Lepisosteus oculatus: one gene and its partner. The protein of the gene in region 2 interacts with the protein of the main gene of each other region in a pairwise test. Links are inferred from orthologs where the notes say so. Each region holds a gene or a part of one and is shown on either strand. Other genes may lie near its edges.

Region 1 (7,392 bases), on a different chromosome or scaffold from region 2:
TTAGTGCTGCTTTCTCTCCAACACATTTTCATGTTAACTTTTTTTTAAATCTTAAGTAAGACAAATATGTCGAAGTCTGTAATGTAAGTGCTAATTTAAGGTTCCATTATTTGTTTTTAAATTTCACATTCCACCTACCCAGTGGTCTTTGAAGTTAGACGTAATCAGAGCAGGGCCAAAGGATCGAGCTGGGTTCATTCCACATCCAGTATAACTGATCTGGGGAGAAAACCACAGATTTGCATGGGATTGCAATGGTATTTTCTAATTATCCAAATGACAAATTAATACGTGATATCTTACCAGCTGTGCAGGAGAAAACACTCACTGACACAAAAATAAAGTAAAGTGGTTATTATAGGATCTATTTTTTTATAATTAAGCCATGTTTTTTTTTTCCTGAAATGTTCAAATACTAGCAGAAACGTACCAAAGGTCACTTTCAGAATTGTTTTTTTGCTTCAAAACTATTTTTAAAAAATCTAAAAGAAAAAGTGTTTCACAGAATTCTAGATCTAAAATAGCAAGCATTTACTGAGGAAAGTGGGTGAAGTTTAAATTTATTCTGTAAATTCATCATTTGAAAAACATTACTGCTGGCAGCAGAGCAAATTTAGAAAGTGTTTGCAATTGCTCAGACTGCAACACTAAAAGGGTATTGTATCTAACTCTACCGGGGCTTTTAATTTCAATCTCTGCCTCTGACTCAATCCATTTTGCACCAACTGCTTACATACATTTGCATACTGTAGATCAAGTCAGCTGTTAAATTAAATTGGAACTGGCTAGTCATCACCAGTGATTTTTTCCACTCTATGGTGTACATTATATTTCAGTCAATTTCTAAGTGACTTACAGAAGTGAATACTAAGAATTCATGTTTTAATGACGTACAGCAGCAAGGTGCCCAAAGGCCACAGAGAGACCAATGGCAAGGGGTGCTGAGCCAGTGACATCATGCCGTCTCTTATCTGTTGTTGCTATAACACACAGGACCAGTTGAAAGGTGACAAGAAGCTCTATTCCAACACCTTGACTGGAGGTTACATTGTTTAGCTGTAAAAGAAAGACAGATACACATTTTAAAGGTTGAGAAAAAAATAATGATTCTTGTCATCTCTGGATAAAAGATTGTTTACTTTTAAACTACCTGTGAACATTATATCAACAAATCACATATTATTAGGTATCATAAGAAGGTAACAAAGGTGACAAGGAAGAGAAGGCCATCTAGTCTATCTGGTTGCTGATAACTAATTGATCTGAGTATCTTATGCAGGTTTTTTTTTAAGATGTGTGGTTTCAACAACATACTATAGCTGAGTTGCTTTCTCCACACTCCTGCATTTGTTTGAAGTGTCTAAATAAGAATATTAATCATACACTGATTACAGGATTTTTTTAAAGATGGAATAATCAAAGTATTGATACCCCACTAAATGACACTTTTGGACAGTTTTATTTTAGAACTGATACAGTAATGGTCAATAAGTACAATAAGAGACTGAAAGTGCACTACTTACAATAAATCTAAGTCAGAATATTTCTGTTTCTCACTAGGGACTTTATGTAACTATACATTTTTTTATTTATCTCAGTACATCATTTTTTAAACTTGATTCTCCTCCCAAATTTTATTTTACTGGTAAAAGCAGTTATAAATGCTTCATTGAAAAAGAACTCTGATGTAAAATATGTAACTTCCTTGATGAACCTTTGAATCCAATGGTATTCTGGTTAGTAGCAGTTGAACTACTAAAATTTCTTTTAATATTTTTCCATGTGTTAAACTTCAATATCCACTTTATTTCAACAGTTGAGCTCAAGACAATTTAAAAAAGTCATGCAAAAACGTCCATTATTTACCTTCCATTAATTACAATTAGAGATTAACTCAAGAAAGATCTGGGATATCAAATCTATATGGGATATGTTATCCGAAAATGCTGATGTGTCTTACAGTTTTAAATGAATTTAGTGAGTGATGTAATTTAATTAAGAAACACAAACTAGTGAACAGACCACTAGAGGTCATCATAAACTACTAAACCACTGCTCATTATCCTGATTGTTTTTGTTGGAATATGTACTATACGGTGTTACATTTTTTATTCTTTAGCTAAGAGCTTCTCAACTTTTTTATTATATCACACTAAGGTCACCAAATCGTCCAGGTAAAATATGTAATCTGTCTCCTTGTTCTTTTATATTATACATGTAATATTATTTGTATGTATTATTAAATCAGTTATTCTGTGTCATAGCAATGAACTATAAACAATACATTTAGCACATGTTTAGTATCTAATTTAAATTATAAAATAATTTGTAAAGAAGACCATGAGGCACATGCCACATGTTTCCAGAAAAAAAAAATAGTATTCTGAACATAAATTATGTCACTGTGTGGTTTTACTTGTGCTGTCCTTCTCATTACCTTAATTCACATTCAGGTTCTATTTCTCTGTGCATAAAACACATGGATGAAATCAGGTGGTGTTATGATTATCCAATGCATTTGCATAAAACACACACTCAAACATCTGTGCACAAAATAGGTAAAAGAGAATAAAATATGAATATTTACCTACTTTGTCTAATTAAATTATAGTGAATTAGCAACAGTTGCATACACTCTTTAAAGAAAGTTTTTAAACTTTTTTCTAGAAGCAAGAAAAAACACTCACTGAATTCACTCCCAGTACATCAGTTCCATTCGGCCTGACTCCGTACACAATTCCACTTGCCATCGATGCCCCCAGTAGTTGTGCAATGATGTACATAACAGCCTTGAAGACACTGATCTGGCAACTTGCCAGCATGCCAAAAGTCACTGCAGGATTCAAGTGGGCTCCACTTATGTGGCCCAAACTTTGAGCTAAAGTGGCTATAGCTAACCCAAAGGCTAGTGACACTTTTACCTCTTGGTCAGGACTGGAAGCTTTAGGTTGCCCTACAGCAGCTGATATACTAAGAGAAATAAAGAGAGTAATGCCTATTAGTTCAGCCAGCACTCCCTTCCAAAATGCCTTGCTCTTGAATTCTCTCATCTTGACTGAGGCTTTGCTGGTCTGATGTGGTATCTACAGACACAGAGACGTTCTGGAGAATTTATAGAGTTCAGTTCATAGTGGGAGGAGGGGGTGTTGCAAAGAAAATCAAAAGCATGCAGAATTAGTGAGACCTCAAGAGCTTTCACAGTTGTTCCACCTCTTTTTCATAGGAAGTCTTTATTCATCGAAATAGCTTTTTCTAGAAAATGTTTTATACAAGTTGTTGCTAAGACATATCATTGGTGGTAAATTCCTTAAAATTGTGTGTTGAATATCACAGAACATTAAATATTTAATATTGTTTCAATTTTATTGCAGTTAAAGGAGTAAATTGGTAAAAAGGGAAAATACAGCATAAGGTTTTGATATGTTGTAAGAAAGTTTCTCCTTCATTCTCTTTGATTGTCGTGGCAACTCCTGAACAATTGGGGAAGCAAAAGAACTGCAGTTGTTATTTTGTCTAATCATTTGCATCACAAAGTGAACCTTTTTTCTATGGAGAAAAATTCTGCTCAGAAGAGAAAAGTGAAATCTAAATACAAAACAAACAACTTAAGGAGTTATTTAATGAGACTGCATCTGATCAGAGTTTTCTTGTTCTTATGTACTAATAATGGTCAAACAAATGGGGTTTTAAAAGTATCACATAAGCAATATACAGTATTATAAACAAGTGTACAAAAACAAGGCATGTTGATTAATTCACTTAATCCCATATGTTCACACATTTTCATTCAGGATAAATACACTTACATGAATTTAAAAATCCTGAAATTATAGTACAGTACATATATATTTGATGTGAAGCTTTTATCATACATTTGACTATATTCATAGAAATTTTACTAAAATACGTCTTTCCTAGTAGAAAACTCAAATTATTCAATTGTAAAATGCATAGTTTTAGAATCCTTATAACAATACGTTTTTATACATAGTCCACAAACATGGCAAAGGTAGTACGCAGTCCAATGACTGTAAAAGACTTTATACATTTTTACTATTTTCATTCAAATGAATCCTTACTACCAAATAATCATAATTATATTATTTGTGACTTTAAAATTCAGTCTTTTTTCTATGCACCAGACCTCCCTGTTTGCTTTTTTATCGAGTCTCCATATTGTCTTGATGTGGACATATGGGAATTTACATGTACTGTACACATCTTCTGCAAAGATTACTGCTACTCAGAATCAACCATGCTACAGTACATGTATCGTGTATGTTCCTACTTTCAATATGGATCACTTTGCTTTTTAATGCAAAGATGCATATTAATTATTTGCCAGAAGTCTCAAGACAAAACTCTCTTTGTAACTCCCTTGCTGATTTGATTTTGTTTGCCACTCCCCAATTATTTTTCTATCATGTACACTACAAAATGTACTTGTTAACTGTAATACAAAGTAGTTGTTATAGATCACATAGAGCAGTGGGCCTAAAATGGGTCCCAGCACACCACTGCTTATTTCAGACCAATTACTGTTTGTGCTCTATAAAAATGATGTACTATTTCCTGTTTTCTAACCTGTTTTTGATTGTGTGCATTAACAAGTTTGGATTTGTGTGGTTTTAAATTTGAAAACCAATATTCTCTGATGTCGTTTGTTTGAGCATTTTAGCAAGATAGTTAAATAAGACATTCCATTTATAAGCCCATTCTATTGACTACTAGATTATGGCAATAGTCCTATCTAGTATTGTTATGTACTGCAACTCTATCATTTGCATTTCACTTTAGCATTAACATTAGTCTTATTGCTCTATTGTTTCCTGGATCATTTACCCTACTCATTATGAACTGAAGACATTTATAGTTCTCCAATCTGTGGACACTGCTCCCATTCAAGTGAGAGTTAAAATATCACATTTTGGAGTCTATGAAAACAGACTTCAATTCTTTTAAATGACTGGGAAAATTCTAGTGATTTACTGTAGGGTCAAGATCAGTTGTGCTTAATTTACACAATATTGCTGGAGCTTGTTATATAACATTGGATATCTCTGTGAATTTAAATGTAACATATTACATATACAATTATTAACTTTACTTACTACTATATTTCCCTACGGGATTAATAAAATATTATCTATCTAAAACACTACTCAATCATCATTGTTTTAATGTTATAGTACTGAGTGAAATGCTTTGTATTGTTTTTAATTGTGCTACAATATTCTGTTCTCTCTCATGGTAATTCTTTTGTATTTTTTCTAGCAACTAGCTATAGCAACTAGTTAGTAGCAACTAACTATAATATCAAACTGTAGACATTTTAGCATACTATGATTGTTTTAAGTGATTAGGTTGATAAGAGTATCTTCCCTGGTTGGTGCTTTTACAAAGTATTCATTGACATTTTAACCATATTAGTTTGAGCTGCTGTATTTCCATAACAATATTAAATGCATATGAAGAAAACTGAAATCACTCAGTAATATGATTCCATCTTTGCTACATACTGTACATTCCTAACTAATACAGTATATTATACAGTAAACTGCTTGCATCCATGTCTGTATTAGCTTGTCTTTGGCATATAACAGTTGTTTTGTTCTTAGAATTTCTTTTCTGCAGTTTAACCCAAATATGTTATATACACATGTATTTTCTTTCTTCAGCTTTCTTGCTTGAAGTTTTTTAGGAGTCTTTGTCTCCTGCCTCAAAATGTGCAGCTATTTATATTCATTCATGCTGTAAGAAAACCGGCTCAGGGACTTAAATATGTAATCACAGTGGCTTTCTGAAGACACCAGTTCTGTAGGGTTTGGGCATTTACTGAGACAATTATTAATTGTAGCAGTAAATCACAAACTTGATTCTTTTGATGGCTTTAGAATCCAACCATGCGACATAACTCAAACAATGCACACACACAGGTACTAGTACACGAGGATACATTTATTAATACATAGAATATGCATATAAACCTAACATATCTTATCGAGAGGGTTATCAGAATACAAAAGGTATATATTCAGTCAGTTACAAAGAGTTACACATATCAAGAGGACATACGGTCAGTATATCATTCATTAAGATCGTTTCATAAATGAACTTGGTTATAACTTCTACATTAGATACTCAAAACAAGTACATAACTCTTAGGAATTAAATTGATATCAACTGGTTGGGATAACAATTGAATTCTCGAGCTGTAATGCATTGAAGTTGAATACTCATCCAATTTCTGGGGATTCAGATCTCCTGCGGGCACAAAGAAACAGTTGCAGGCTGTTGCTTGTCCAATCCAGGCTTTCTGGCTCCGTGCCAGGCTGTGCTGTGCGGCTTGCGACGGTGTGCTGCAGATGCTCACTGACCGGCTAGTTAGCAAAGTTTGTGCACAGGAGAAAAGATGACTGTGGGTCCCAGCAAGTCAGGAAGAGGACCAGTTCGTTCCTGATGAAGAGCTAGTTCTGAATAGTGATTCAGCTGTCCACAGTTCCGACCTGTTCACGAGGCCTGATGCTGGTTACTCTCTGGCAACCTCCACTCGAGACTCTTATAACAAAGGAAAGTTCTGGCACTCGGACACACTGGCCGTTCCGTGGTTGTCCGGGCTGAGTCTCAGGATGGTCAGGAGGCGCGCTGCGAGAATGTCCTGCCCTTGGGAGCCTTCTGCTCCTGGGCCGTCCTGCCCTGGAATTCTCCTTTGAATTCCCTTTAGAACAGTCCACAGAATCCTCTCCAGAATCTTACTGAATCTCACTGAATCTCACAGGCTCTCTGTGTTGCCTGTTTTTACCTGGAGGAACTTCAGCTCGTTGATTGCCTAAAAGTTCCATGGGCATCAGAGTCCCACGTGGGTTACTCGGCCCTACCAGTCCCTGATTGGTTGATCAAGGTGAGATATGAGTCACTTACTCCTGACACTTAGTAATGCAGTCCAGATGTCCAACTGGCACTCCCTAGACAGATAGGCGCCAATGGATGACCATTGATCATGATAGCCAGGCTTAGCTAAGTGCATCCCCCTTTGGGAGCTGTCCTTATCAAAGGAACCCTAAATCAGCTTGCATGAATAGTTTCTCTGTGGCTGCACCACAGAGATGAACAGAGAAATGGGGCCTCATTTGGGAAGGTTCAGCTCACTTAATTCTTTCTTATTAATAAGCCTCGCCGCTACAATGCCATCTTCCCCTAGACTATAATATCATAATTCCAGCACCCTGCAACTTACAACTGGCAGTCCACTGAAGCTAAGCAGGTGTAAGCCTGGTCAGTACCTGGATGGGAGACATCCGGGGAAAAACTAAGGTTGCTGCTGGAAGTGGTGTTAGTGGGGCCAGCAGGGGGCGCTCACCCTGCGGTCTATATGGGTCCTAATGCCACAGT
Region 2 (7,090 bases):
ATTGACACAGTAAATGACAGGCCTGAAAAGGAAGAGGAGAAGCCCTTCTTCATATGTGTACTTGGATTTTCAACCTATTTAGAATTAATAGGCTAACTAAAGTGGGGTTATTTTATTATTATTTTAGAAGTATATAATTATGTCGTAAACATATCTTTACATATTTGGTCTGGGATGAGAGCACCTTCATTGCTTTATCTATGATGTTATTTGTTTAATTATAATGGGATTCAAAATTATTTTGCCAAGTTACCAGCTTTGTGATCACAACCTAACAGAATCATCCCCCACAGAGGCATTCCTAAAATATTTCTAATTGTTTAAAATGTAATGTGGGCAGGACAGCTTTAGGATTCTGACACTATAATTGAACTTGCTTTTCAACATTCTAGCATAGAGTGTACAGACAAGATAAGGAGTGGGCAAAGCTTTGTAAGAGTAAATAAAATAGAATGCATATTATTTTCAAAATTTCAAACAACATGGCTAAAAGCACAAAGCTATAAATGAGAGGATGCCAGTTAAGAGGCCTGATGTGCGCAAAACATCAAATCCTATCCTATATCATGTCTACAGTACTGATTTCTATTTATTTCTGATGCAGCAGAAAACCTTCTGTATTAATGGTAATGCACACGGTACAGAATCTTGTACAAAAACCTTAAAAAACATAAAAACACAAATATGAGTGATCAGGGATTATTCAATAGCGTTGCACAAGGCATCCATCCCATTTTCACAGTTGAAAAACATTACCAAAAGATAGACATTTATATTTTTAAATGACCAAGTGAGATAAAGCTCAATTTAATGGTAAATTCTGCAATATTCTACTTTTTTTCCATCTCTGCATCGGGGAAAAAGCTGAAAAGGGAAGCGTTAATTGCTCTATTAAGACTAGCTTGTGACGTGAATCCATTGGCTACATCCCTCTCATTCCAACTACACTTTGAAATGGGTCAGATATACCGTAGATAATTTAACACAATGACAAGTCTAAAAATATTTTTTTCCAACAAACTGAATGGTGTGCATCTTTATCCTAATCATTGTGCCGATGTGCCACCCATCTTCAAACATTACCTACCAAATGTTTTGATGGGTTAATAACTGTATAGCTCCCTCAGTCAAAAACATAAAACACTGCTATACCAACACATACAAATTCAGACATGGATATACACACAAACTCTTTAACAGACTCTATAAAACACCTAATCATCTAAAAAATAAAAAAAGCTTACACAGTTATATCTGTTTTCAGCAGTGAAATCACTGATATTAAGGGGAGAATGAAATTACATGCTGAAATGAAAAAAAAAGTACAGGTACATCTGGTTTGAAGTTTTTAAATAACTTTGAAACATAATTTTTGTCAAGAAGAATTATGAACCAAAATTTTTTAGACTTAAATGAATATACCAGGACTCAATATGAGCACCTATCCAGCAAGCTGTTCTCTTCAAACAGATGTCTATTTATCCATTCTCCACCAGAGGATCACAGAAGGGGAGGAGCTCATCCAGGCAGGTAACAGGCACAAGGCAGGGTACACCTTGGATGGGACGCTAGTCCTTCACAGAGTACACACACTTTTGCACCTTTTTCCAAGCAGCCAATTAACCTGCCAGTATGTCTTTGAGCTGTAAGAGAGCACCTGGAGAAAATGTGGGTTTTCTCTGGGTGCTTCAATGTACAAACATACAAACACCATGCAGATAGCACCCCAGCAATTGAACCCAGGGCCTCAGTGCGGAGAGGCAGCATTGTGCCAGTGTGCTAGCCATCTTCAAACACTTCTCTCGATATTGCCATTTCAGATTTTCTTCAGTAAAATATCTGAAGTCTACAGGTTTCACTTGAAACCAAAAATAACTTGCAATAACACACTACTCCCAGAAAGGGATTTCCTGCCCTTTTGTTTGTTATGGTGTTACGTGTGTTTCTCATAGACTGGAAACCACTATACAGCAAACGGAGGTAGCTTCAGTAGATGCATTTTATTCATAATAGGTTTTTTGGAAAACTCCTGATATCTTGCAGGATACTCTTATACAACTCGACTCCGAACATATAGTAGGCTAGGTGGCAATCAAGTACTTGATTCTCAGTGGTGGTTCCTACTAAACAAAAACGCAGTTCAGTGATAATACATTATTTTACACTTAAATTTGATTACTGCCGTCTCTACTATTCAAATACAGATTCTCTTAAAGAAAAAAAAATACATTTAATGAAGGGGGTAGATTAAGGCATGCTTTCTGAAGCAAATACGCTTATTTAGAAACAGAAGACTGATTCAAGGCATTTTCAAATGTAAATGCTCACTAACCTCCAGTGAGGAGATTGCTGTATTTTTCACATACTGTATAGGCCTACTGCATTGTACATGAGTACGCAGCTCCGTTTTGCTGATCTGCCTAGAGCAAGAACAGGGTCAACATCTGAGATTCAGAAGGCCTAAACCTGCAGAGTCTGAAAAAAAAAAAGAAGTTAATAATTGAAGTAAGGTGCTTACTTTGGGTTTACACATATAAAATGTGATGCGTCTTGCTGAACAGCACAAGATTTCATAAAGCAGGCCCACTGTGATAATAATTCCAACTTACAAATACTACTTCCATTATGTAGGATATAAACTGCAGCCTCCATGACTGATGCAATTATGCACCAGTAGCCTCATTACAAGTAAGGCAGGGTCGAGAAGTCAGAAATATATTTAATGGCTGAATTGGGGGGAAACCTTTTAGGCCAGAATGCACAATCCCAAAGAGATAGGACAGCAGGGTTAAAAGCACTCCTCTCATTAACAATGCCATCAGATGCTAAAGGACTGGTTCTTTCTACAGTGCAGTTCCACACTGTCACCAGACTGGGGTATTGATGCGAACATTCTGGTCCAGGGAGACGTTTCTGACCGGAAAAACGCTGCAAGCTTCTGAGATCTGAGACCGATTTAGGCCAAAAGGGGCAGAGGCTGCTGGCACAGATAAATAACTATGATAGTATTCTTTCATTAATAGCTACATTAGACAAGAATCTACAAGCATGACAACCAACTCTCCAAAAATATCAGTAGTAATTCAAAGAAAGTGTTACAGTTCAGCTATCCACCCTGAAGCATTACGGAACAGCATCTGGTGTTCTCATGAAGTATTTTGTCCATTGGCTACACTTACAGTTCGTAGAATTTAGGTACATCTCTTATATTTGTATTTGATATTAAAATCAATGTAACGACGCACCTCCGGCGACTATTAAAGCATTACTCGACTAGTGTTCGGCTGTGACCGCAGCAGGAGTTCACTAACAACTCGCGGGGAAGCTACTCATAAGATCCAGTCGCCCGTTGGCTGTGAAAACAAGTGTTGATCATAAATCACCAAATACTCAGGAAAAATGAACGTCGCCAACTTGTGACAAGTGCTGTGCCACCAGGCGACTGAACACTGCACGTCACAGGCGTGACGAAGCTGTGCCTACTGCATTGTCCGACAAAACAACAGGTCCTGCGCACGACTTTGTTCAAAAAGCTCCCCGAGAAGTCCCAGCGGTTCTGGTGCCGCTTCAGCAAGCTTGACTGAGGTCCACGCCTGTACTCCACCATAGGTGGCTTCTACAGAAATCTGCCACTGCTGTGATTGGCCTGGCCTTCTGACACTCAAATGTTTTCCCTTCTTTGTTAAGTTCGGTTGATTTACAACAACAACAACAACAGCAGCAACAGCAACAACAAGGGAAAAACAAAACATAAGAAAACGCCACCTACCTGTTCAAACTAAGGAATTCTACCACCGCCGCCGCGACGAAACAGCGAAGACTAACAAGCACTTTCGCAGGAATGTTTCTCTTTTCCTCCGCGATCAGTTCCCAAGCAGACCCATCTGAGACCAAAGCTGCCCCGTCTTTTCCACAGGAAGATCGAGTACTGTCTAACCTGCGTCTGTAGCGCCTCTTGCCACCTCCTCCTCCTATCCGTGACCGCCGGAGCTACTTCGCTCCGTCAGCCTCTCCACTGCTGTCACTTTTGACGTCCCGTGTTGTTGGTGGAAATGACGTAAGAAAGTAAATGAGTAAATCTATCTTGGGATCAATTTCCTTTATAAAAAAAACAGACTTAACCAGCATAACACATTCATGCTATCCAATAATGTAAAATTTCGTTACATTCAGTAAAAAAAAAATATTTTCACCACCTGGGCCAAACAGATTGACTTTAATTGTTATCGAATGTGCGTCTCTTAATTTAAAGATAATTGTATGCTTATATGTAGTTAACCAATGGCGGCAGTTCCCATGATTAACCCGGCAAGGAACAAACTGATTTTTTTTTTGTAAAGGAGAATTGTGTTTACGGTAGTTAGCAAGATAGTTTATATCAGGGTTTCGCATCTGAAAATAAATTCGTGATTTATAACAGTAACCGAGTGTAACATTTACAAGTTTTAGATTTTAATTACAGATACAGCTGATATATAAATTGTCACTGCTGTTACTGTATTGCTGTTGAGTTTTAGTTACTACAGCTGTAAATAAACTGGTAAGTAAAACTTTTTAAAGAGGAAAGGTGCATGTAGTTAAAAACTTAACATTTTAAAAGAAGACCTACGAAGTTCTGTTAGTTTCAAGTTTGCAATAATTGTCGATTGCTCAAATGTTATTATTGGTAATTCAAATCCTAGCGCTGGTGCATGTACAAAGTTTGCAGTGGAACTCAAATTGCATTATTCTAACAAGTCGAGAGTAATCATCTGACTTGCACTTTGTATCTTTTGTTTTAATGGCACCATCTCTTAATTTGTCGGTTTACGTGTTGCACCGTTTTCAAGGTTACATATTGTGGTCTTCTCACCACAATATGTAACCTTATATATAACCTTCTTCAGCACAAATCACAGTAAATCTAAAACAACAGTTGCTGCAGTTCTGGTGTGGGCGATCCATTTGTTCTTGTTTGTTCTCGGAGTTATCGTGGCAACACTGCATTTTCCTGGCTTCTGAAACGACTTAATGAAACAGGGAAAGCAGCTGAATAAGTTCAAACAGAACCCTTTTCCTCACAACTGTACTGATTTAATAAATTAATAGGAAACTGTTGGTTTAGTTACTGTAGGTAGCAAGGTACGTACCAATAACAAGAAACGATATAAATGCACAGTACGTTACAGATACTGCCCAAGAGAAATGGGCAAACTGTCAGATAAACCACATGTACGGTAGTCGGTACCTTTCAGAATGTATTCTTACATTTAATCGAGTCGTGTATTTTGTAATTTATCGTCATTATTCGGGTAGTGAAAAATGCTTCACGTATTGACCACTGTTTTTTCATGCTCAGAAACATCAGGTAAACACACACACACACGCAAAAATCTTCAGTGACAATGGCAACGGGGGATCTGAAAGGCAGTCTGAGAAAGCTCGACCAACATCTTCGATTACTTAATTATCCCAGAGAAGTGGATTACACTGGGTAAGAGCGATTGTATAATTGTTTGTCAGCTATACGAAAGTCTTTTGTATTCCATTTCTCCCATCCGCCCATGCAGCCTTGTCACCTTTGCCAATTCATTGTAATGATAAAGAGTTGTCTACTTTGGTGTAAATACTGTATATAAGGCCATATAAAGGATATGTGTAGAATGTATGACTCAATTAAAAGCAGTACCCTCTGAGCTAGTGTTGGCCCTGAAAAGCTTTAAATCCCCAGACACGGTGAATGCTGTTGGTGATCTGTGAATCACAACCTAGCAGAGCTTTAGAAAACTTGTGTAGAATCTGTAACGTGCAGCCCGTCAACTTTAAAGCAGCTGTTAAAGATGACTTGGGGGAAAAAAAAACTAACTCTTGAGCAAGGCAAAATAGGACCTAAAGCAGAAATGATGATTCAAGAGTCTGAAGGGGGTCTGTTTAGAAGTTATTCTACTTGAATCTCCTGCCTTTAAAACAGTATTTTATGTTTGGGAAAACGAAATCTCAAAAGGACAATATTGTTTCCTATATACATTGTGAAGATGTCCAGACTAATAGAAAAACAGTTAAAGCATTGCATTATTATAGCCACTGTCTTGATTTTAAGTTATATTATTAAGTAGTGGTTGATGTAGTAGTAACTATAAACAAAAGAAGATAATTGCTTAGATGCAAATGTGATGGACATAATGTCTGATGGAGGTTTCCTTACAGTTTAAGGGGCACAAGAAGCCCTCAGGAGATTTTTACTTTATTCTTTAGTCATTGCTTCCTTCTAAGGACCTGTTATAAAACCTCTATACATCTCATGTCATACATGTGGTTTTATTTACTAATAGTTAGATTAACATCTGGTATAAGCACGTTTCTTTAATTTCCTATGATGTAATTTTTTGTTATGCTTTCTGTTTCAACCTTTGTAGGCTGTAAGGTCACAGCTTTCTAAAAGGAAGAGATTCTGGCAGCTATTGTAGTTTATTGTTACCATGCCATTTTGTAAACTGTCAAGGAAAAAGGCAACTTGGAAAAATGGGACCTGTTGTTAGATTTATTACCCTGGCTGAATCACCTTATTTTACCTCAGGGTTTATTAATACCATATTAATTTCTTATGTCCGCGGTTTCAAAAAAAGTTAAAAGAAATTAAAATTAAGGAAATGCTTTAAGAAGTGCTGTGGTATTGATACATATGGTATACATTCTTTCTCTTTATGGAAATAAGCGGTAAAATATGTGCATGGTTTTCATCATAAGCGCATACACAGCAGGTATTATGAAAGTAATTTCTGTCTTGACTTACAAAGAGTTGTGTGTAAGGAATTGCATCAATATATTGTGTGCCTCGTTTTTGCCCCAATAAATTCCACAAGAAATAGGCCACAGCAAAGTTTTTCAACACCGTGTGTCATGACTATGAGACTGTTAACTACATAGATTAAAGAAGGACAGTTAACCTGTCTCCACCTTAGAGGAATGTTTAAAATTGAACGTTTTAAGAGTTACATCACTTCTCATTATACTGTATTGGGGAAATCAGAACAAAGTTAATTGACAATTATGTCCCATATGAATGCAAGGAAAGTGTATGTTTTCAATAAACATTTAGTGCAGTTTTTTC

The links. The genes of interacting proteins can lie anywhere in the genome.
Region 1: the proteins of cep44 (region 2) and aquaporin FA-CHIP interact in binary tests that used the Homo sapiens proteins (3 or more experiments, as listed by UniProt). The link is inferred for Lepisosteus oculatus from reciprocal best matches to the Homo sapiens genes CEP44 and AQP1.

Annotation. Positions count from the first base shown.
Region 1 is NC_090701.1:33,148,656-33,156,047, reverse strand, and holds the start of aquaporin FA-CHIP, read right to left. Parts: upstream 3,098-7,392; 5' UTR 3,051-3,097; coding exon 2,688-3,050; intron 1,057-2,687; coding exon 895-1,056; intron 220-894; coding exon 139-219; intron 1-138. UniProt on the Homo sapiens protein: Forms a water channel that facilitates the transport of water across cell membranes, playing a crucial role in water homeostasis in various tissues.
Region 2 is NC_090696.1:73,394,618-73,401,707, forward strand, and holds the start of cep44 (centrosomal protein of 44 kDa), read left to right. Parts: upstream 1-3,983; 5' UTR 3,984-4,057; intron 4,058-4,258; exon of another isoform or gene 4,259-4,540; intron 4,541-5,338; 5' UTR 5,339-5,384; coding exon 5,385-5,473; intron 5,474-7,090. UniProt on the Homo sapiens protein: Centriole-enriched microtubule-binding protein involved in centriole biogenesis. In collaboration with CEP295 and POC1B, is required for the centriole-to-centrosome conversion by ensuring the formation of bona fide centriole wall.